4 linked regions of the Drosophila melanogaster genome follow. The protein of the gene in region 4 purifies or fractionates together with the protein of the main gene of each other region. This does not show direct contact. Each region holds a gene or a part of one and is shown on either strand. Other genes may lie near its edges. The genes, in order: Tmep, CG7668, CG14767 and sty.

Region 1 (7,567 bases), 1.9 Mb from region 4:
CCCGCTGGCCGCCGGGCTGGAACTTCCTCTGGTTGCCCAGCGTCTTTGAGGCCATGCAGTTGCTGCCGCCGTTGCCGCCAGATCCTGGTCCAGTGGCCACCGCATCGTATCCACCGCTGGTGGGCTGCGACGCCTGCATGCCTCCAGCTGCTGCTCCCGAGCTGGGATCGTCGGGATCGTAGCTGGAGACGCGAATGCCGCGGGAATTCTTGCCACCTGTGCGGGTTTCATTGGAGGGAATGGACTTAATCGTTACGGGTCACACAGATCGAGGGTCTAACTTATTAACAAGAAACATTAGATCATGCCATGCTTGTCACAACCATTCCTCGATTAAGTATGTTACTGAAGATTTTAGTTATTAGTTAATTCTACGATAAAAATCTTAATCGAGGCACGGATATATGATATATATAGTTGGAAAGAGGCCAATAAACATGCAACGAAGAAAACGAGGCGAGGCAAACAGTTGTCAAGCTTATCGTACATTTATTGCTAAGTATTTTAGATATTTTATACAATTGGTTTAAACATTTACAAACAGAAGTAAATAGAAGGACGACGAGAGCTTATCACAAAAGGGTGGTCAAAAGGGGAAATCAAAATAAAAGAAGGAAAAACTTCGTTTTTGGTATCTTTGAGCGAAACGGAAACACGTAAATAAATGCTGAGGGGAAACTAGCTTGAAGATCGCTTGAATGGGGAATCCTGTTCAGCGACTGCCATTGTTGCATACAGTATAATAAAATCTTTGTTTACAAATACATAATATTGTACAATATTATAGTTCGTTTCGTACATAGCTAACGTCTAAATAAGTTGTTTTAAAAAACGCTTAAGTTTAGGTGTAGAGTGTAAACGTAGGAAATACAGAAACACAGACGCAGAGGCAACTCTAAAAGCCCTGAACTCAATGGACTGGCTAAGTTAATTTCTGTTCAGCTTTCAGCGTTTTGTGGAGTGAGTAAGTAAGTAACTAGGCCTAGTACGTATCTTCCTCTCTGAGCTTGGTTTCGGGGGATACTGTGGGGCATTAAGCTAGGGCTAAGGCGCTAGGGCTATAAGTACACTTGTTTGCTTCGCTTTCGGATCGCGTCCCGCTCGGAAATGTGGAATTGTGATTGCAATTAGTGTTTAGTAGCGAGCATCGCTAGAGTTTTGCTTTTGATATTGATTTAGAGCTTTTCGTAACGCTGAGCCGAGGTTACTTCTGCAAAAGATAAGAAAACAAGAAAGAAAAACAAAAGTGTGAAAAACATAACGATAATGGAATGGAAATGGTAATGGAAATTCGCATCGAAATGCATTAAATGAGAGCGACGAACACAAGAGATAAGATAAGTTAAGCAGGCTCGATGAAAAGAACGAACATGCCACAGACACAGAGCACAAAGAGAAGAAGTTGGGCTAAAAAGACGAGAAAGCGAGTAAAAACCAACCTGAGCTGTACTGCGTGTACTGCTGGTACTGCGGATGGAAGTTGTGTATAGCATCTGTCATAATATCCTTGGGATTCATTGTTTCCTGCGAAGGATTGCGGGAGTTTTAGATACGGGAATTCCCAGGGAAATATTCCAGCTTACCTTAAGACTGCTGGAAATGGACTGCATGGTGACAGACCGTCCGTGGCCATCGCTGATGCAGCTGCGTGCGTAGACCTACAAAGAGCATACAACATTTAAGTTATTTTTACTGCAAGCACTTCGTTTTAGCTGATTTCTTCTAGCCAAGTCAGCATTACACGAATACCTTTCACATATCTAACAAGTGTAAGGAAAGCCGCTTAATAAACACCGAAATAACCGAAAAAAAGCACTCAAGTCAGCACTATCTAATCACCAAAAATCGTAAATAGCTGCGTAAAATCTAGCCCACTCCGACATTCCAAAACTCACCTGATAGGGGAATGCATAGCGCAGCGCGATGGCGGCGAACAGCATTTCGATGCAGATGAAGAAGTTCTGGTATCCGGCGGAGACGGTACCGGGTTCCACGGTAACAGTGCCTGCACTGTCTACAATGGGCGAGATAACATTGGCCTTCTCCAGGATGGCCAGACCCACGCCCTGCCAGAAGGACAAGAAGATGACGGACTTAATGGTACAGAACTTTAGCACGGGCTCGAACGGAGTCAGCAGATCACGCGTGGCGAAGTAGAACAGATAGAGGCCATACAACGCCAGCGACACGGAGATGTTGTAGATAATCGTGATGTAAATGTAACCGCCATCAGCACTGCAATTTAGATAAGGAGATATTATTAGTGGGAATGATATGTACCTATAAGTTCTCTCTTTTGCAAAGTGTTACTTAATGGCAGATTTACTGGTTTACAGTTGGTAATTTATTGCGCACGCTCGTTGTTTTTATGCCACCATTTCAGATGCAATAACGCGGGTCATTAAAGATAAACCACATTACCTCCAATCGCCATCGTGGTAGTGGCCAAATGCCTGCAGAAAGATGATAATGAAGGCCACCAGCGGCTTGACCAGGCAGAACTGCAGAGTGGCCTGCTTGCAGAAGCGCAGGAAGCCAATCGTGTAGGTCTTGCCCTTCAGACAGCAGGTGCCATACAGGCACGATGTCTTGATGGGCTTGCCGCGAATCTCCGACATAATATTGCCCTCGCCACCCAGGTACTCATAGCACAGCGACAAGAAGTTGTAGATGACAAAGGCTGGATGGAAATGGGGTTAGCAATTAGTCGATGGGCAAAAATCATTCAAAATCAAATCAGCCGAACCTTCGTAGCAGTCGCGCACCGTAAAGAAGTAGATGTAAACGTTATCCGAGTTGAAGAAAAGCAGACTGATCCAGGAGTATGTGGCATAGATGGGCACAATGAACAAAATGCGCACGATCCAGCGCTGCTCCTGTGGATTCGTGTACCAGCGCAGGTGCTGGTAGATCTGCCAAAGATATCCATTAGTACACAACTCAGACCAATGACGCCTTAACTCACCTGTTGACATGTGATGAAGAGGGCGGCCCAGACGCACACCCCAGCTAGAACCTGGGCGGTCTTTGTCTGCAGGAAGATGCCATCGCCCACGTGGAGCAGCGGGTCCAGCGGCGTGCTCATCGGAGTGTTCTTTACCTGCACCACGTAGTTGGGCTTCCCTGTAGCCTCAAGCGATCCCGCAGTTGTAGCCGTGGCGTTTCCACTACTGGCATTTAGAGCCGCCTCGATGAGACTGGCGGCGGTTGTGCTCATGCTGCAATGGAATCCAGAACGAGGAAGACCGATTAGCGTGGGTGTAACTGGGCTAGGTTCAGGAGCTATTGTGCGGCCAGTTGAAGTGCTCAGCACAGACAGCTAGGCAGGCAAAATGTTTACGTTCTCGTCTCGACTTTCACACGAACATTGCTCCGAAAATGACATTCTTACTCAGAGACACGAAACCCCATTTCAGCACTGCTGTGCTGCGCTCTTAGCTATATTATAGTTACACCTGATTTATTCAAGCTCCTAACTCATAATCTAAATTCATTAGTGAATTATTTCTTTGTATTTTCATATGCTTTCGAATTATTCGCACTTATATAAAGGTTTAAACAACACGCTTGGTCAGAAATTGTGAATCCAGTCATGTGCAAGATGTTGAATAATAGTCATTGAATAATTATGATTTTAAATAAACATCCATTATGTATGTGCATTAATATCTGTGTGTTTTTATTGCCCTGGAATATGGATTTTTAAGGTTTATTATGAAAATGTTCTTATCTTGATAAGTTCATATGTGTTCTATGAATCTTTTCCATGTTGCCCCAAAATTTGTGACAGCACTGCAACAATGTTTGGACGGATTTGGGTCAGCAAGAAGCAAAGTGGGGAATGTGGAGCGGCAGCAGGAACAAAAACAAAAACAAACAAAAGAGTTGGCGGCGGGCGGCGGGTGGTGAACGGGATTGGGTTGGGATTTTGGGAGCAGAGGGACAGAGGCGCGCGCATTAGATCATCACGCAATCCAATATTAATAATGGACTCTGGCGCAGCCAAGGAAAGTTATGGCCACCTCCACACCCACCTTCCACCTTGTCTCAGGGTCACTTCAAACTGCTCCATATCGATTTCACCCGCCTGGGAATGCCAACCAATCAATAGGCGAGTGCAAAGCAAGCAGAATGAATTACATATTTGATAGATCTTGAGTCCATTTGAGTGAAGTTTTTTTTTTTAAATAATCTCGAATGGGGAGCTTTTTGAGCAGCGATGCTATTGTGCGTACAAAAATAACCGAAAGTGCAATGGATACAAATAAACTGAAAGTTCTGGTGGAACGGAAACATATGGCAGTTCAAGAGGATTATGGGGGCCAAGAAATGCGATAAGCATTCGAGGAAACAGGGGGGAAATACAGAATAATGTTAAAATCTTGCGTGGAATCCACTTACTCTAATATTCCAAAAAGGCAAAACCTACAAATCGAAGTGAAATAGAATTGAAAATATCGGAAATGACGAACAGGAAGTAAAATGAAATGTCAAAGTTCCTTGCTGAACAGTGGGAAAAAAGGGTATCGCCCATGGTAAATTCCGATATTATTTATTCAACACCATTTAAAAAAAAAACTCTTTTTTTGAGGAGTGCCTTTACCAATCATTTTTAATAACATCAAGTACAAGATAGCTCGAAACACTGACTCACCACTAAAGGGTTGGGAAACACTAAAAACTTAATAAACTTAACAAAAAAAAGGTGTAATAAACACCTTTTTTTATGATTTAGTTTTAACAAATGGGATATTTTGTGATTATAGAGTCATTTTATCTCCAGAAATGGTATTCAAATATAAAAACTCTTTGGATGTTTTGAATACTTATGGTATATTGTGAGTATTCCAGTTGTGCTGACAAGAGTTTCCCATTAGGGGAATAAAAATCACGTTAATGATAACGAATGAGTCACGAACTCGTGCAAAAGTTAATAATACTCGCATTGTTGAACTCGAATTTGTGAGCAAAACGCAAAGCGTTAAATGTTAAACGCTTGAAATTTGCTTACGAATCTCGGCGACACCGAAAGCCAGAAGTAAATGGCCAAAAGAAGAGGCAGAAGAAGAGTGAGAGAAGGCTAAGCGAAACACAATCAGCTGCACAAAGAAGAAGCAACAACAAGTTGCTGCTGGCGGAGATACACAGAAATTGGCCAAGCAAAAGTCTCCAAGCGAAGAAGAGTCTCCAAAGGTGGCAAGAGACGAGTAAAAGCCATATTGCGATGATTGTGAGGGAAAAGGAGGCGCGGTAAGTTGGTAATTATGGAGCAGGGTGTGTTGGAGGTCGGAAGCCTTGCTGTGGGGCTTCAGTGGGTAAATTGAATTTCAGGCAAAAACAAAAACATATGCAGCGTCAATAAACCATATGCGAAACGACCTTTTGGAGAGTGGGGAAAGAAGAAGACTCGAGCTTATCTTCATTGCTCTTCCACTCACGCACACACAAACACACACAAGTACACTAACACCTTGCTTATCAATGCAAAAGTACATTGACAACAACGAAAACACAGAAAACGAGCTCAATAATTTCGTCATCGAATCGGGTAATCCACAACCTGCCATTTCAGGGAAAACAACTTTTACACAAACACACACACATGCAGAAAACCTGCACGCACAAACTGAACAATTCCTTTTTTAATTGGTACGCTAATTACCTTTTTTCAAATGCAACTCTCCACGCTTTAGAGCGTTTTCACAGTTGCAAATTCCGTTTAATTTCGCTGCACCCGTTTTATATAGATTTTCAAATCTCAATACGTTTTTCTTTCTTTTTTTCACCTGACGCCAGTCGCGTCGCCCACTGACGTCGTCGCTCTTGTTTGGGGCTAAAAGAATGGCCTACAGCGGTTGACTTATGGCCGCGGCGGTACGCAATATGTTTGCCAATGTTTGAACACGATTCCTGGATGTTTTTTTCGCGGATCGTGGGTGTGAAAACAGCGAAGGAAAGCGGAGCAAAATAAATGAAAACTACGCACGAATCGTGTTGGTGTGTGACCTAACTACACTAAGCGCTAAAATCTGCGTGCCAATACATAAAAAATACCGAAACATATGTTTTACAGTATTTGCGTGGGAGTGCTGCGTAGTTATTTTCTTTTCGTTTGCTAATTAAATACCACAAGTGTTCACACTGTGCATCACGCGCACAGGCGCATCTTATCACTTGCGCTCCGCTTGACTTCGGATAAAATAACATAAGCAATTCCAACTAATATGGTAACAAACTTAAGTTAGCAGTAACAATTAAATTAACAGGGAAAAATATTTTGTAGCACTTGCACATTTAAGACTCGTTAATGTTCAATTGTTCAATACTCCAGCACAATCTTGCAAGATCAACATATACCATAGATTATATTAAAATTTAAAAGGTTAATAAATGTAATTGTTTGGTTACTTTATTGTTTTAAATAAACGTCATATAGTGACTAACGAATTAGAATTGTTTTTAACAATTAACCAAATCGCATTTCAGAAACCCCTTCATATTTTGCTCACAGGGTGCCCGTGGTCTTCGGAGTGATTTTTTTCTGCTGCACGACTACAGGTCACACTTTTCGTGTCAGCCATGTTGTTTTCTGTCACCAAACCCTCGCAAGCGTAGGAATTACAAAACAGCATTTCACTTTTTGTGTTGCCAGGAAAATATAAATTTTTCAGGCCGATCATCAGCAGGAATAATCAAAATAAATATATAGCAATTGAGCCAAAACAAACCCAACTGTTTTTGTGCATTGGTGGTCCAGAATAAGTGGAGTTTTGAATGGTTTTCATGGTGAGTAAAGTTCATTGAATAAATTCAGTACTCGTACTTAAAACAGCGACACCTCGCCCCCTCCGCTTCTCCTCTTCGTTCGTTTCGCTTCTGCTTCTTCCCGTGGAGATGCTTCAACATCAACGACTTCGAAGCAGCAACAACAACACTGCACGGGAGCGAGAAGAAAAACCAAGAAACTGCTGGAAACAGTGAAAATCGGTTAAAACCATTACCCAAAAGTATGTTGATCAGTATTGATTGGTGCTTAACGACTCGCAGATTCCTCTTTGCGCTCTGTTTCGTTTCGGTGTGCAATTCATATTTTATGCTTAGGGTACAGTCTCGGTTCTACTAGCAGCCCCGTTCCAGATTCGATTTCAAGATGAAAGGCATTATGTAAATACATTTCCGCGAATAAATTGTGTACCGCCTGTCACACATTCGGGGGTAGAAATATATATATTGCTCTTGGTCGTAGTAAATACCTGTATTAGCGAACATACCTGAATTGGCTTTAAACCGAAACATAGGTAGTCCGATACAAAGTCTTGCTTAGCTAGGATCACTCAGGAACTGAAAGATCTCTTATTAACAAGCATGCTAATAAAATGCAGAAAATAAAACAACGGATTTGTTTAGCATTGCCAAGGCAACATATCAATTGGGTTTTATAGCGCTTACCATTAAATAGTCTTAATAGCTGTTTGATCGGAAAACATACCACTATTTCATATTGGTACATAACTTTAAGGCTATCAAACAATTTTTAAAATATATTTCTATAATTATAAATGATATA
Region 2 (4,252 bases), about 17 Mb from region 4:
GACTTTCGATTGAAACATACTTTCCCTTCTCATTCAATTGCTACCGACGACGCACACCGTTTACTGCGATTTAAAGCAACTTAAACCGCAGTCAATGAGAACAGAAATTCAACTGATTCGACTTTTCGTTTCGAGGTCCTAACGAGTTGGGCCATGTCCTGCGCTTGCAACCTCCAGCTGCAACCTCCAACAGCAACTTCGAGCTCATCCGGACCAGCTTGAGCATGGAGCACCCCTATTTCCCCTTCTGTTATTGAGTCCTTTGACCCTCTCTGGTAAAAATATCCCAGCTTTATTGCGGAGAACATGCATATGTCTGACTTGTTACATGTTTTAGACAAATGTATTTGTTATTGCTAAATATTTTGTGAGGCTAGGAAAATGCTCCACTTCACTGTTAGATGCAATTTGTTGCCTTCTGCAGATTTTTATGTTTTATTTTTTTTTTTTCTATTATGTATTATTATTACTATTTATCAAAATATATTTATATTTTATAGAAACTTGGGCAATTTAATACGGCATTCCTGCGATAAAATCGATTTTATCAAACGCGCCATCTGGTGGGATTTTCATGTAAATTTCCCTCGACCGTAAAATAACAAAGTCGGTATTATTACGATAAAAAAAATACCAAGCGAAGCTAGATTTTACTTGCAAATACAGCATACAGCATTTATAGGACCTTCAAGCCTGTTATCCACTCTTTGGTCGACACTAAAACTTAACATTCTACAATAATTAGGCTGAAAATGAACAGGTAGAAATTATTTTACAACTTTTATTTCCGTGACAATGTTATTTGACAAGCCATTATACTTGGCTCACGGCATTGGTCTGATTAGCATTTTGCACGACTTCAGGGGATATCTATTACCAACATTCCAATTACCCCACCAAATGCCATCGGTCGTGTCCAACTCAACTTTGGAATTCCGATATTTTCCGTTCAAGTTACTGAAAAAGAATTATTTTTCAAAATCATTAAACAAAAACAAGTTCATACATACCAGTTCATTGTACCCCACCATTTCGATGATTCCATTGCAAACGGATTTCCAACAATAATATGGTTTATATGACTGCGAAATGCGTCGCCAGCATTTCCTGAGTATTCGCCAAGGGAAAGCAGTTTGTATTTCTGTTTTTCATCGCCAATAACAAAATTATCATATCTTGCATAAGCACTAGCATTGTCGAAATCGACGAGCTGGATATATAGTTCCATTCGTCGATGTGTCGTCATTTTATGCAATTTTTGTAGGCCAAGCCAGAACTCGCCACCCAAATCCCCACAGCCCGTTATTATATTTGATTCAGTGGCGTTATCGAAACTGCCATCGATTCTACGCTGGATTATCATCCAACCACGACCGGCAGAAGGAATATCCTCGAAAACTGAGGCAAAGGGTTCGAAATCAGGTAGTGTCACCAATTTAATTGAAGGCAACTTGGAAGAGCCCAGTAATACGAATTCATCGTGGTCCTTATTATTAACGTTATACTCAGACAATATCTCTGTCATTTTCACTATCTTTTCGTCCTTCGCCTTTACTGCACCTTCCAATTGCACAATTTTTAGCTTCGACTCGTCAATTTTGAATTCTAGTCTGGCGATTTCCGCCTCTTTTGAGTTCAAAATTTTCTCGATTTCAACAATCTGATCATTCCCCTCTCGAAATTTTCCATTTTCCATATTTAACTCCTTTCGTTCTTTCACAACTTTATCATGCGCTGGAGCACAATTTCCTCCATCGTTCTTCTTAATTGTAATCCTACTCAAGTCGAGATCACTTTGCAAGTCCATAATTTGAGTTTGTAACTTCTGTATGGTCATTTCTTTTGTTTGCGTTACTAAGTCAATCGACAATTGCAGGGTCTTAATAAAATCATCCTTATCCTTGATGCAGTTTTCAAGTATACTGCCCTTCTCCTGTTGGGCCTTCAGATTTATTTCAGCCTCCGCCAACTTTCGGGTGAGTTCCGATATTTTCCTCTCATCTTTTTTCTTATGTTTCAGCATTCCCCGTGCACTTGTGCCCACAAATTCCATTTCCGAATCACTGCTGCTCTGAAAAACGAAAGAGTATACAATATTCGCTGAGAACTATGTGCATGAATTCATGATTACGATCACTATCGGATCTGACTGAGTCTATTCAAAGACACTAGAATCGGAATTTGGGGAAGTACATATAAAGCGAAAAGTTTTTATCAAAGACATTAGAATAATAAAGACATTAGACATTATTATTTTAGTGTCTTTGATTTTTATTTTACTTGTGAATTTATATCAATACACCAAAAGAATTTTCAAATTTCTCACACGTTCTTCTCTATCTATGTAAGTAACGAGAATCGAGAAAAATCTTATTGCTCACCGAATTGTTCTCAGTGCTGGAATCTGGAGAGGATCGCGAATTCTGAGAAAAGTTGTTCTGGTCCTCCGGCTTCATGGGGATTAATTTATCAGCACCACGTTTTATCGTACCTAAAAGCACTCCAAACGGAATTTGCAATAATCCGTGCAATAAATTTAAAGATGTAAAGCAAGTGCCTATATTTGTAACAACTCAAAATACAAAAAAATCCGATGAATTGCACGTAGCTGTTTAGCTCTAAGTGTTACCAGATATGGACTGAGGGAGTTACGCAGTCCGGCTAGAACATGGCATAGGGGGTATTCCGTAAATTTAATTACTGGGTATCATCTTTGAAAAGGAACTTTTGCATTTTCAAACTATTGCTTTAAATAAGTGTATAAGAACCATTTCTCATTTGATTAAGCTGCCTAGATGGCAGTAGTACGCTTTTCCTATAAATAATCACTTATATTTAAATACCAAAGAAACTTTGGAATACCTTTATTATCAAACCGGTTAGGAGATATATGTATTTATTCCCAAGATATTCAACATGTTAATAATCTTTTATTGTTGATAAACTTTCACACACTTTAACACATACCCTGTTATACATACATATTGCAAAACATTTAGGTCTGCAGAGTTGATCTTTGATATTCGCCTAACGTAAATACCACGCACAAAACAAAGCTCAATTGTTAAGTGTTAACAGTTTACGCATATTTATTTGTATGTATTGGGAACATCCAGAGAAATCAATATATAAAAAAAATATAATGTTTATATGTGAAGCCCTTAATTTCTACTGTTGAAATTTATATCTCAATTTCTGTAGCCATCTCCAAGTACTATTCGAGGTCGTCGATACTTGCGTTTCCAGATGAACACTCTATAATTTTGGCTCCGTCCAGTTGTTGCTCCGAGCTCTGCCCCAAAACGATTGGCCCGTCGTTGCCCTCGGCCGCTCGATTGCCGAACTCCTGCATCTTGACGATCAGCATCGCGAATACTTGAGCTGGAAGGGAGGATTGCAGCACCTGCAGCAGACGAGCCGGCTGGCCACACACGACGATGGCATTCGCCAAGTGCTCCACGCCACTCTCGAAATCTCCGCGGGCGATCAGGGTCTCGCCCAGCTGGATTTCTTGAAGGAAATATCTGCAAATATCATGGTTTAATTAGTTTGGAACAGCTGATTCGATGCACACTATTACGAATTAAATTAATGCCAGGCAAATTAGGTGCATATAAATAATATAAATTGTGCACAGTTGCAACAATAATAACTATTTGTATATTCAAATTATGAATTTCTTGGCAGGAAGCCTGCTGAGAATCCAAACACTGAAATGTGCTTGTTAATCCAAGGCAGTGGAGTCTTTAGATGCCTGAGGCAATAAGCAGCAACACGATGAACACGCAAGTGTAATGGGACTCCACATAAAATATGTACATCGATTTGGCTGGAGAAACATATGTGGGCTTGTTTGTTTGAATGGAGGTGTATTGAATCGCCAGGCACCACTACACGTGCCACATTATATAATGCGACTCCCATGGGAGTGTCCTACCTTTCGATGGCTTCATGGTCGTTCAGATTGGGAACTCCAGACTTGGCAGTGCCGGTTTTCTTGTTGCGACGGCGACCTAGGAAGTGATGAAATGATGAGTTTCTTTCATAATTCAGTTGGGGCGCAATGGGGATTCTTACGCTCACGGACTTTCTTCTTGTACTCGGGATCGCTGCGGCGCTTCTTGTCGAAGTAGATGCAGTATCCAATAAACAGAGTTCCAGCTACTCCCGCTGCAATGCCGATTGCAGTTTTGTTCATTTCAATCATATTACTACGGAAATCCTCTGTATTAACTTGGTCTTATTTTACATT
Region 3 (7,962 bases), on a different chromosome or scaffold from region 4:
GTTTCTTTCCCCAATTAAAATAAATATCATCAACTCTGTTAAAGGATTAACACTATAAACTAAAAAGTCAACATTCCAACTCTATTGAAAATGAAACCAATTTCCAAATAGAATTAGGGTATCAGCTGAAATTGGAAATTATATTATAATGTTCTTTAAATTAAAATGAAGTCGCAAACACAAATTAAATATAAACTAATTTTTATTCGAATATCTTTGCATATTTAGTACACAGTATACATTTAGATATTGTACACACATAAAACTTTACTGTTGCTGGTAATATCATCATAATTAATGGATTATGACTGCCTGTGCTCTGAATTCAGTACACGGTATTCAATATGCATAGTCTTACGAGATAACTTAAAACAAAGAACATCGTAAAGGTGTCTACAATGCCAGCGACACTCTCTGGTAACAACTACTTGGGCCTACAATATCCGAACTTCTCAGGCTAGTTCGGGCCAAATGAAAAACGTTCTAACAGATTGTTGCAGCTAAAATCGGGTCAGATGCGGCCGAAAAGGAATTGATGCTTTCCTCGCCAGCATCACAATATGTTTTTGGCTTTAATGCTTTTGTTTACTAAATTAGCAGCAACTAGAGCGTCTTAGTTGTACGTTAAACAACAATAATGAGCGATGGCTAATAGCGAAAACTTGTTTGCGTTTCGTTTTTCTAAAAACAGTGTTCAATACATTGAAGCAACCATTAAGAAGGTGTATGTGTGCCTGGGAATGATAGCTGCGAAATGAGGGACCAGAAACCAGATCATCTGGGCAAGAAGAGGATGGGAGAGGGGTGGTCACCGCTGATCACAACCCACTCGCCATGAGAAGCAATCCAGTCGAAAGTACTGTTTAAGCCTGGCTTTCGTCGCGTCCGCCGAATACTTGTCCCGGGATGTTTGGCTGGCGATGCAGCGGCGATTGCGATGGCACTTGCACCTGGGCATCGGCAACGTCGTTGTAGGGCGGAGGAGGCGGAATGCCACCGATTACATCAACGCCAGCGTCAATAACCTCCAAATCGTCCGCTTCCTCGTCGACATTAGCGTTTACAGCTGCATCGCTGCGGCGCATTGGTGGCGTATTGGCATTGACATGCATAGTGTTGTTATTGTTCGGCTGATCATTGTTATTATCCATGTTGTCATCCGTGTTGGAGGCTACGTTCGCGGTAGTGGCTGCTCCAAGGGCCACGAAGAGAGGGGCCACCGAAGGATTAACCTCCGCACCTCCAACAGCTGCGTCTTCACCCTCTTCGTAGTTTGACATGGCCACCTGATAAGATGGCGGTGGTGCCTGCTTCAAGTACTGGGCAATCGCTTCATCGTAATTGGGCAACAGAGTGGAGTAAGACCGCTCTTCGGCACCAAAGGTTCCGCCAACACTGTGGACTCCAGTCGGTGGCTCCAGGAAGGGGAACAGGGTGCGAACGTGTTGCTGACGGAGCGTCAAGTACTTGTAGCAGCGCCAAACGATACCAATGCAATAGGCCTTTAGAAACACAATGCAGATGAATACGACCAGGACAACAACAACTAGCTCCTCAGGTGGTAGTTCTAGCAGCTTCTCGCGCCACGGCAAGCGATGCGACTCGGCAATGATGCTGTGAATGGCCTGCAGGTAGCACAGATATCCAGCGGCGGTGAGACTATGATAACGAACAATGCATAAGTACATTAATCTCCCTATTAAAAGAGTCCTAGAAACCTCGAAGGATTTAAGAAGGCTATTTAAGCTTTACTAAAGTAAAGTGGCGATTTAAATCTTTTGAGGTCTCTGTAACTCCACCGATTATAATCCTTACGTTGTAATAGCGAAATCAAACAATTGCAAACAGAAGAACGGCAACAGGTGGGAGGGTTTTCCCTTGATGGTTCCGTAGATCATCATCAGTGTAATGGCTATCATGCAGGTGCACACCAGTCCGCCCATATCGAAGTTCTCTGCAGCAGAAAATTGATATTTAAATGCGTTGCGGAACTTGCTCTCTCCACTGCTTACGGTAACGCTTACGATAGTTGAGGGAGTGGTCACGGTAGGCGTAGGGCGGTTCGACCTTGCTAAGGGGCGTGGGTAGGGCCGGTGCACTCAGATCCACGGTGTAGTCGTGGGTGCCACCTTCCAGTTCGTCCATCATCTCCGGATTGCGCCATATGACCGCTAGAACGCTTAGCGCCAATATGTTCAAGAACTGAAAATAAACGTAGGCGGTTTTACTTACTAAAATAATTAAACTGTTTAATTGCACATGGAGGCTTACATATATAAGTAGAAATATATATTTTACAAGTTCTACAACCAACGTGGAGACTCAACTGTTGGGCTTAGTTAAATCAGACTTCTTTGCCTGGCAACTGAAGCAAACATTGCTAGCATCTACTGGTTCCAGAGATTTCCAATAATCCCGGTGCTGGCGTTGCGTGTAATTAAGATATTCAAGGAACGCGTCGTAGGTTAAGTCCACCGTGTTCCTGCATTGCATTCGATGATGATACGGACATTTCCGGTCGTATATCCAAGTGCGTTGCACGGGTGGCTTTACGCAAGCCTTATGCAAATAGTGCTTAAAAGCCTCCCGATCTTTTCCATAAAACATCCGCGTGGTCGTGTACGCGATGCCTTCATGAATGGCTTGGCGCACAATTGGCTGCGCTACGATTCTCCCCACCCCCACAGATGTGACATCCGGTTTCTGTAAACGGATGAGCAACCACGGCGGGATTAGTCCAAAACGTATGCTGGATACAACATCCGTTACGTTTTCCTCTCTTTGAGGCCAGTGGTGGCTTAGCCACCGAGCGGCTGCCATGAAGACCTCCAGCTCCGTATTCACGCCTATCAGATCCGATTGGATGAGCAATAGCATTGATTTCAGCGGCAGTCTCAAAAACTCTTTCGATGCCACCAGCGTGAGAAAAAACTTTGAGACGCGCTCAAGATATTGCAAATGGATAACCTCAAGTTTCAGTATTTTCGCCTCAAAGTACAGCATCGCAGCGGAGTCCTCAGTGAATCCATGATCGAGGCAATACTTGCACTGCCTGACCAACTGTGGAATCTCCATAAATTTGGCAGCGTGGAAAACCTCTAGGAGACCGAGTCGCGGCAAGACTGGCGTGTCCTCGATCATCCATTCGTAGATTAGGCCAAAGGAGCGTGGCGTAATCATCTTTTCGGGCAGGGCCACGCTCAGGTCATTGCCCATATCGCGAAACATTCGCGAAAAGCTCTGTAAGACCATCAGGTGCACGGGATGACTTGTCTTTCCTATGGTGATCTCTGAATTGGTCTTTGTACGTTGCTTTACAAGGCTCACAATCTGTTGGTACAAATTGACCTTCCCTTTTAGAACCTTACTGATTTTTGATTTCTTTAAAAGCCCGGCTGTCGAGTATCCCAATGAGAATAGTGTACGCTCTTTAAGGGTGTTGAAAGCGTCAGTCTGGATTTTTAGTTCAGAAAGGGACGAGCAATTGATGGCAGTTGTATTGATGAACAAATCCCTTAGCTCATCATTCATCTCCTGTATCTCTTCTAGCTCCTCCACCGCTTCGACATCCTTATTCGCCTTAGAAGCATAGCCGCGCAGGATGACTTTATTTGAGGAAACAATGTCAATAGGACAACAAGAACTGCCTTCCGGAAATGTGTCGTCTGTGTGGGGCATTGCATTCGAATCTCGCAAATGCCTTCACCAGTTGGACAGCTTCCTCCGGATGGAATTTCATTGGAAGTAGTGGGGAATGTAGACTTTTGTGTGAGCAGAACAATATTTATAAAAATGTGAATAAGTTGTAAACGTCACAAACTAAGCAAAGATTCCCAAGGATCACGAGGGGGGACTTTAATGATAGCTCAACATTTAAAAGTATTTCGAGTGCGTTAGCAGGTGCATGGGTCCGCTCATGAAGATAAGCTGGCAAAAAAGAAGATAAGAAAGCTTCGCCTGATTTGATTTGCAGCCTGTGTGCTGATAGATGACAGCTGAATTAACAATTCTCAGATTTATGACAGCACGCTTCAGAATGTTGTTCCAGAAGAATATATCTTTCTTACCGAAAAGCAAGAGTAAGCCACCACAAGAGTAAATATTTTCGCATCACTTGTCGAGTACGTGTAGTTATTAAAAATAACTTGAACGCTCATGTTTCTGGTTGCTGTTTGCTCAGATGGCTGCCGTTGGATATCCGATTCAGTATCTAAGTATCTCAGGTTGAAGGCCTTGCAACGACCCGAGATGCGGCAACTTGCCATCTTTAGTTAAATTATTCATCAGAAATTCATCATGAAATTTAATCTGCAGTGCGCCGCAGTATATCAACAATTGTCACTCTGGGGATGAGTCAACCAAACAACAAGCAACCTTCGATTTGCGGAATTGCTTTGTTTTTAAAGCCTCTAACGCCATACATATCTACAAAATGTAAACAAAGAAACCCTTGAGATTGGACAGATTAGAAAAGATAACTCCACTGCTGTCCACACCATAATCAACCCATGTGACGGAGTTTTCTACTGGAAAACGTGACCTGATCAAAGCATAAAGAAAGTAGCGGAACAGTGTAAAATATACACGAATAGCGTAGTGAGACAAATACTATTAAGCAAGGGTTTTTGCTCAACGACTCAAATCTTTTATTGGCCGCAGATTCGCGCTCTCTTAAGGGCAGAGCATTCTCTTTCATTTTCAGAAGAGACATCAAAGGTTTCTGGGTTTCCAAAAACATTGATAACAAGACTGAAAATACTGCACTTTGCACATTTATATCCCTTTTTTTAGCCAATAAAACTAATTTCTTATGAAACTTTTGAAAATTCGACAATGCTTTACATTTCTCCAAGTGTAGCGATTGCTAATGCGAAGTCAGATCTTGTGAAAGGTTAGTTTCGGACAATGGACATGGGATGTGGAAACTTCCGCAGTGGAACCGATGGCAGAAATAAGTTGTTGTGCCAAAAAGCCCCGATGATAGTACAGTATAATTCGCTTAGCTGCATCGATAGTTAGCTGCATCGGCAAGATATCTGCATTATTTTTCCATTTTTTTGTGTGAATAGAAAATAGAAAATAGAAAAAAAAAAATTAAGTTAGCTGCATTTTTAAGTTACCTGCATCGAGGCATTGTGCAAAGTACTCGAGGCAGCTAAGCGAATTATACTGTAGTTAAATTTGATCAGATGACGCAGCAGCGGCCAATCAGCCACCAATTGACGTCACAGGCGGGGAAAGTGCAGAGTTGGCTCGTCTTCGTCTTCGCAAAGTTTTGCAGTCATTGGCTGATTGATTTTTCCCTTGCGTGACACTGAGCAGGGTCAAAGGTTTTTCGCAAATGCCGCAGGACTGCATGCGTGGGTGTATCTCGATATACACACACGCATGTATGGATTAAAGGATACCCCCCTTGATGCACTTACCAGGTGCCACAATCCGATCATCAAAGTGGCCGTGTGGACATGCAGGCCGAAGCAGCAGGTGAACTCCTTCAGGTGACGGTTTCCGGTGCTGCTGCTACTTCCGGCGGCACCATTGTTGTTGTTGCTGTGGAGCTGGTTGCGTTGGGGACCCATCTTGAGGTGGATCCTAAACATTGCACGCCCCACGAAACTGCGGCTGTGGAAAATGAATGCGAAAACGAAAGCGATAACGATAACGAGTGCAGAAAATAATCAGCAATTGTGGGTGTTTTATTCCTCCCACGGATGTGTGTTTGTGTGTGTATGTGTGTTTAGGTGTAGGTGTGTGTTGCATCTACGAGTATGTATGTATGCATTTGTATTTATGTGTGCCACTTTTTCACGACTGATGCTTTGACCTTTTGCACTACTAATTCGGCAATTGATTCACTCTCCTTTATAAGGCGTACCTTTGATTTGTGGGCCAATGCAACTTGCACTGGTTTTCAACTCCGATTTATATCTGCAGCTCTTGATGTATTCAATTTTATTTAACTGCTGCGCAGCACGAAAACCCGTGAGCACTAATCTCTGAAAGTGGTAAAATGCCGCGCAACACGGTCACACTGACATTATGCGTTTTGCAGAACGGTAACGTTTATACGAGTCATTATTCGCAAATATCATGATATTATACAATAATTTTTGAATTAGATGTCATATAAATAAACAACAAAACGAAGAGATGTAAGCTCATTTATTTCTAAATATTCATAGTTTATGTATTTTGTGTCCCCAAATGTAAATTGATATGTTTTTATTACTATTATTGAAGTTAATATTATTTTTAAAATTTACTTCGAAAGGAGCAACTCAAGATAGGTTTGTGCTTCCGCATCGTAAAGTAAATATTAATTTTAAAAAGTACGGTAAGTGTGACCGGTGCGAACGCTAAAGCGCCAATCCGCAAACATCGATAGCAGCGATGCAATCAAAATACATGCTTTGCTATCGTAGGGTGACCATAACTAAAAGATTTGGAGAGCCAACTGCAGCAAAACAGAGATAAAATTGACAGCGAACGGAATTGAAATGGCTTAAACCGCATGCCTAATCAGACTCGCGTAGAATTTTAGCCCGTGTTTATTTTATTTATTGAAACGAAGCCAGTGAACGTGGGGTGCAATTGCTGTTATATAAAAGTACGGCACTGTAACTGCAGTTTTACAGTAAGTTTCGTTTATCAGTTCCCCTTTGTGTACCTTGTTTCCTTCAGTTTTGCGTCGTTCGTTAGCGCGCTCTCTGTCGCTCTCTCTCTATCTCTTTAGTACGTATCCATCCCACCCCTTCTCTGTTATTCCCAACTACGTCACCCACCGAATTCACTTTTGTTTGCTATTTATAGCTGCGGATTAACTGCACTTCGCAGCCAGGAACATGGGGATATAAAGTGAGAAAAAGTTGATGGTCTGGTGGTCCGTTTTCCATATCGCTAATCGCGTGTTATCAGGGCCAAACAACAGGCCATCGTAAATAAGCGTTTTAAGCTGTCAATCAGCTGATTTTGCATCCATAAATAAAAGAGTGCTGCTTGTAGCCTTATCTGTAGGTTAACCACATATATTAACCTGCTTCAAACACCTTTCTCCGATTTCGGACGTCCCAAATTTTCCAGCCGCGGTGGCTCAGTCGTCTAAGGCAACTGGAATTCCCTACGAAATCAGTGCGCGAGTTCGAGTTCGAGTCTCCGCCCATGCTTGTTGGCTTCTTCCGACGATCACCCACGTTATTTAGCCGTTAACTCCTTGGGCTACATTAATTTTTTTTGTCATTTCCCTAACTTACATGTGTAAAAAAAAGAGTATCTTACATGTGTTTAGTTTATCTCAAAAGTGGAACAATCCTCCTTTAAAAATGTTTGGAGTGGGTCTTCAAAGAGAAGATCATATGCTTACGTTTTTATAAACTTAAACTTCCGGATGATACATTTCGAAAGCAAACCTTATCCCCCAAGGTGCAGTAGATAAAATCTGTCAAGCGTGAAAACTTGTTATTAAGTTTATTTTAAACATGTTTTAAAATCGTTTGGAAATGCACTTTATCTTACCACCATCGAAACAAAAGCTTCAGGCACTGCAAATGTTTCAAAAAAATTAAAAATAGTTGACTATAATAACATGTATGTTTACCCTAAACCTTCCTTTAATTTCTAAACTACGACTTTTGGAAACTCGGGTTATACTTGGAGGTCCGGCTTTGTTTGGTGGTCTTGGTCATCCCCCTTTTGTTTGTTTCCCTCTCAATCTTCAATTCTCTCTGCTCTCTGGCTTCAAGTGGTGACGTAATTTAAAGCGCTGCAATCGTCTTGTTTTGGTCTTATAAGAAATACACGCTTTGGGAACCGGTTTGGAACACTACTCTTGTTTTCGGAACTGCGCCACACCAAAACAAACCTTTCTCCACCACGGCAAAATCATCATCATCATTATTTTATGCTTAGTCTGCGTCCGAATAGATATCCATAGTCCGAGACTGTCCGGTCGCCCATATCAATGAG
Region 4 (4,648 bases):
TTACTTCCAAATTCGTCAAAGTAGGCTCGAAACCGAATTCCGAATTCCGTCGGAACCCCCACATGAAAAACTATCTAAAAAATTGTGTTTATTTTTTATGTCTTCTCTCTATCAATATTTTAGCTAAACAAATTTGTGACAAACGCAAAATGACGATGGCAACGCCAACTCGCTTCCGTTGCGATCGATAAAGTGAAAAAATGGTATAAAGGCATTAAGAAAAATACTTTTACCAAATTAACATGAAAATACTTTGTATTTTGTTTAGAAAATATAAAATATTAACCTAAGGTTCAAAAAATTGTGAAACACATAAATATAATGTGAAAAAATATTTTTTGTGTCTACAAAAAACAATTGGATTGGTGCAGTGTGTAATTAGAAACTATATTATAAATAGATAATTAATTAATATTTTTTCTAATCAAGCAATAATTCTACTAAATCTATTATTTCTACCGGTGCAAAATGCGAAAGAAAAGAGGGGCCGAGTTAAGATCCGAGAAAAGCCCACAACTGAAATTGGAACGCATAGCTCATATTTTGGATTTGAGTAGTTGGGGCCACGAAGGCGGGGGAGTTGCCCATGCCCACATGGCCTGCCTATTCATAATTATATTGGAGGAGCCCCAGCCCCCGGAACCACCTTAAATGGAGCTCCACATGTATATGCGTATGCAGCGTGAGCCAAAAACTGGACACTCCGGCGGAAGCCATTTATGGCAAAAAAAAAACTTAATATAAATAAGATAAAAAAAAAACATTGGCACACCCGGGTCCAAAAATGCGAGAGGCACAGGGCCCAGAGGATCGGTTCGAATCGGATCGATATCGATGGCATAGTCCGTGGAATGCCAATGCAAAGCAGAAGGTGAAGGACTGAGGATTTGGGAGGCTGGAGGAGTCAACGGCGCAGACCAGTAGCCACATCCGCTGTCAAGTCTTTTGGGAAATTAACGCAGTTATTCACGCAATTATGTTACGCGACCGACCCAAAGAAAAGGTCTCCTCCGACAGGGCCAGCCCAACCCAGAGCCAAAAAAAAAAAAAAAAATTAAAATAAGAAACCCAGGAGAACTCACTCGCAGGGAATTGGAATTCCTGCGACGATCAGCATGAAATGTGCGCATTAGTCTTGGTCAACGCCAGTCCCAAAGACAGAGCTAATTGAACGGTACAGATTCAGCGAAACCTTAACCCTCTGGGTATCCTAGGGGTTTTAGGAAAACTCCCAGATGCTTTGGTTTTACCCAAAGTCATATAGAAACAGACCAAGACCTTGCATTTAAATGTACTTCTTATGACTTCTTTAATCATTAAAGGACTTTCCAATTTGCAATTCTTTGCTATGATTTAAACAATGATTATTGCCTACATTTATATCAGAATTTAATTATACATAATATCCCCATTTATATATTCAAATGTAAAACTACATTATGTTTGCAAAATGGGTTAAGTTTTTAAAATTCTTGCTGAGCCTCAGCCTCCATGTGAGCTGGCATAAAAGGCCAAAGTGTGTCTCAGCTTTCAGCCTTCAGTCCGATCTTGATTTCGCGTCATTATGATTCGCATACAGATTATACAAATTTCGAAAAAAGATATATATTCGGAGGGTAGGGACTGGTTGGTCTTCATGTTTATGAGACATCTGCAGACAAACGCAGCGGGTAGCCGGCGAACGAAAACACGATCTCCATCCTCATCAGCCAAACCAATTTCATTTCGAGATTCGTTCAGCTGTCGGTATTTGTGGGCTACTGTTTCGAATTTTTCAAAGTCGCCAAATAATTTTAATGATCTGGCACAGCGAACAAAGTACTAAATTAACTTAAGAGCCTTCTTCCAGCCACTTCGCCCCACTCATCCTCGCCGATTCCGCCTTTCCCCCCATTTGGGGCAGTGAAAATGATTTATGGCATTCCAGAATGCCTAAGCTCTAAGGCTCAGGCATAAGATTTGATTTTTAGGTAGGGAAAAAGGGTACAGATGACAAATTTATAAAATTAAGACCTATCATACTATCGATTAAATGTTATTCCATTACTCAAAGCTCAAAGATATTGTAGGGAAATTGTTCATCATTGTTTGACTAAAAGAAACAATGTCACGAATTTATTTTTATCGAGTTGATCTTGTTTTTTTAAAATATTGGCTAGGATAGACTTTTCAACTTTTCCAGAAATTTAATTCCCAATTTCTACAAACTATACAACCGCGTATTTACTCAGATATTTAAGATTCAAATGGATGAACATTTTATAATACATTTATAATATCCTTGACAAATCTTCGATAAGATCTCTTGCATAAAAATCACTGGCATATAAATGACTTTTAATGCCTTTCCAACTGATGAGCACTGGTCACTTAACCTTTGGGTGACTTTTAGCTCTCAAGAGAAGAACAAAAAGTCAAGATCCAAAGTTCCAATTGACAATATGAATGACTTGAGACATTTAAGTGTTCTTCGACTGCGAAGGTTCATATATTGATAGAGATGGACAAGGGACAATGAAGCTACTCACCGGTGAAGGGAAGTTGCTTGATGGATGGGTTCTGGTTGAAAGTTTTCCTCGGCTTGGTCGACTCGATTGCAGATAATGCGGATAATTTGATTAGAGATTTTTTTTGGCTCGGTACAGCTCGCCTTTGTTCGTTCTGGTTTTTGGGGTTGATTGAGTTGTTTTGTTTTTCTGGTGGCAACTGTACTCAACGAGATGCCTTGGTTAATTGATTAATAGCACGATTAATTTGTAATAAAGTTAAAGAGGCTTACGCTATGTATGATTATGTTTTTTTTTTCAATGGGATAGTTTACTATTTAAAATTGTTAATTATTTAAAAACACGCGCACTTTTACTTGGATTCACTTAAATTACGCATACGCCGTGTGCGCATCTATTAATCGCTAATTGCGTTGTGTCTTTGAACATACAACTGTATATATATCGGGTATATATATTTGGTAAATAATTTTGCAAGCACAAGTTCTCGGAGATTGCACGTTGAATGCAGCCTGACTATCGTCCAGTGACTGAGCCAATGTTGCACGACTTTTGCATCGGAGCTGCAGCCTCACCCGAAGATTGCCGATAGGATCTCGTCCTGGAGGGGAATACCCATTCGTTGGGCCGAAGGTCCCAAAATCCGAAACACGAAACGACATTGCGTGGGCTTCGTGCGACATTCGTATTGTTTTCCGATTTCGGCTATTGCTGCAGGACTAATCCTGGCTCCTGGCTGCTGGTTGCTCCTGTTCCCAGCTCCTGGCTCCCAGTTCCCTCCATTTGCATGGCCATCCAGCCCCCTCCAATTGCCTACCAACCCACCAGCCACCCGCCACCCAACATCCTGGCCTCGGTGGCCCGGCCAATGAGCACTCGGCTTTCAAGGTCGTCCGTTTGACGGCCATTTTGAATGCATCGCCACTTTCAATGGGCGCCCACTCACACACGCCTGCATTTCCTGGCCCAATGAGCTGGGCTCTGGCCCACTCAGTTGCCTTGGCAACGACCTTCGGTAGGCGTCGCCTCGACATTGGCCATGGCAGTGAATTTCCACTTGGGGGTTGTTGCAATTACCCCCAAGGTCATCCGTTGTCCATCAGCTGTTCGGCCAGGGTTGCCCTGCCTCCTTAAGGCGGGCTTATTTGAAAATTAGCCAGCACCCTGTGCACCGCTCCCAAATTAAAATCGAACAGCACACTCAAAGCTCATTTCGTTTACTGCCCCATAAATTAATCAGTGAAAATAATAAAGATTTCAATATTATTTCCAACGACATCCGGTCGAATGCGGCACCAAATTTGGCGGAAAGCAGCCACTTCGCCGAGCTCCACATATGGGCGGTACGCATCACAATAACTCTACATATATATTTGTATACGTATATATTGTATATGTATAAGGAACATCAGAATAAAGAACAATAAAAAGCTAAAGTCTAACAAGAAAGCTGAGTGAGCTAAATTGGATTCAAAAACGAATGTGGATTACTTTCTTGAGCGCTAGGAAAATGTTATTTTAGGATGAGTAAGTTGAGTAAGATACTTTTTGAATAGCATTAAATAATAATATATTTTAAATACTTCCCAAGAACATAAAGAAACAAAATAACCTTTTAAGATAAGGGTATCCCCGAAAGAATTTCATTTGCTTTGCTGCGGAGTTGGACAACTGGACATCTGCCATTGTTTGGACCCTAAATTGAAATGCCAACCGAAATGTGAATCATTCGATCAGATCAAACTCGACAACAAAAAGTGGTCTGCCATTCAATTATATATACGTATGTATATTGGCCGAAACATTTTTGGGCAAACAAATTCGAATAAATGAGTGTGAATGCGAACGGACAGAATAAAAATAAATGAAATTTCATTGAACGAAAATGCTCAATGAGAAATCCGTATGAAAGTTGGCCAAGTTGATGTCTGGGTGTTTGGCTCTGATGGCTTTTCGTGCATTCAATCCGCAATGAATACGCCACCCCAGTCCAACAGTTTTCCCGCCTGACGTCACAAGTGTCCTAGATAATCGCCGCAGTGGCAGAGGTAACACATTGGCCTCGAGGTGAATGTCTAAACATGAACTCGAGGGCAATTTCAGACAGCCAAAAGAATAAAAATAAAAATCACACTCACAGC

What was found.
Region 1: the proteins of sty (region 4) and Tmep purify together in Drosophila melanogaster (affinity purification with mass spectrometry, with the first as the bait; one large-scale study listed by BioGRID). This does not show direct contact.
Region 2: the proteins of sty (region 4) and CG7668 purify together in Drosophila melanogaster (affinity purification with mass spectrometry, with the first as the bait; one large-scale study listed by BioGRID). This does not show direct contact.
Region 3: the proteins of sty (region 4) and CG14767 purify together in Drosophila melanogaster (affinity purification with mass spectrometry, with the first as the bait; one large-scale study listed by BioGRID). This does not show direct contact.

The regions. Positions count from the first base shown.
Region 1 is NT_037436.4:1,567,637-1,575,203, reverse strand, and holds the start of Tmep (transmembrane endosomal protein), read right to left. Parts: upstream 6,024-7,567; 5' UTR 5,663-6,023; intron 3,304-5,662; exon of another isoform or gene 3,219-3,303; 5' UTR 3,218-3,218; coding exon 2,966-3,217; intron 2,913-2,965; coding exon 2,747-2,912; intron 2,681-2,746; coding exon 2,422-2,680; intron 2,236-2,421; coding exon 1,896-2,235; intron 1,659-1,895; coding exon 1,584-1,658; intron 1,525-1,583; coding exon 1,440-1,524; intron 1,211-1,439; coding exon of another isoform or gene 1,176-1,210; exon of another isoform or gene 472-1,175; intron 217-471; coding exon 1-216.
Region 2 is NT_037436.4:20,001,122-20,005,373, reverse strand, and holds CG7668 (uncharacterized protein), read right to left. Parts: upstream 2,639-4,252; 5' UTR 2,457-2,638; coding exon 2,382-2,456; intron 2,072-2,381; coding exon 1,011-2,071; intron 958-1,010; coding exon 825-957; 3' UTR 540-824; downstream 1-539. Other genes in the region: Tom20 (translocase of outer membrane 20), read right to left, coding at 3,215-3,524, 3,938-4,013, 4,078-4,207.
Region 3 is NT_033778.4:8,717,831-8,725,792, forward strand, and holds CG14767 (uncharacterized protein), read right to left. Parts: upstream 6,010-7,962; 5' UTR 5,876-6,009; intron 5,668-5,875; exon of another isoform or gene 5,623-5,667; 5' UTR 5,601-5,622; coding exon 5,427-5,600; intron 3,795-5,426; exon of another isoform or gene 3,679-3,794; coding exon of another isoform or gene 2,323-3,678; exon of another isoform or gene 2,270-2,322; intron 2,203-2,269; coding exon 2,013-2,202; intron 1,955-2,012; coding exon 1,816-1,954; intron 1,660-1,815; coding exon 864-1,659; 3' UTR 187-863; downstream 1-186. Other genes in the region: CG30357 (uncharacterized protein), read right to left, coding at 2,323-3,678.
Region 4 is NT_037436.4:3,421,897-3,426,544, forward strand, and holds the start of sty (sprouty), read right to left. Parts: upstream 3,040-4,648; 5' UTR 2,529-3,039; intron 1-2,528. UniProt on the Drosophila melanogaster protein: Inhibitor of tracheal branching that restricts branch budding by antagonizing the BNL-FGF pathway (BNL: branchless, an fgf inducer of branching).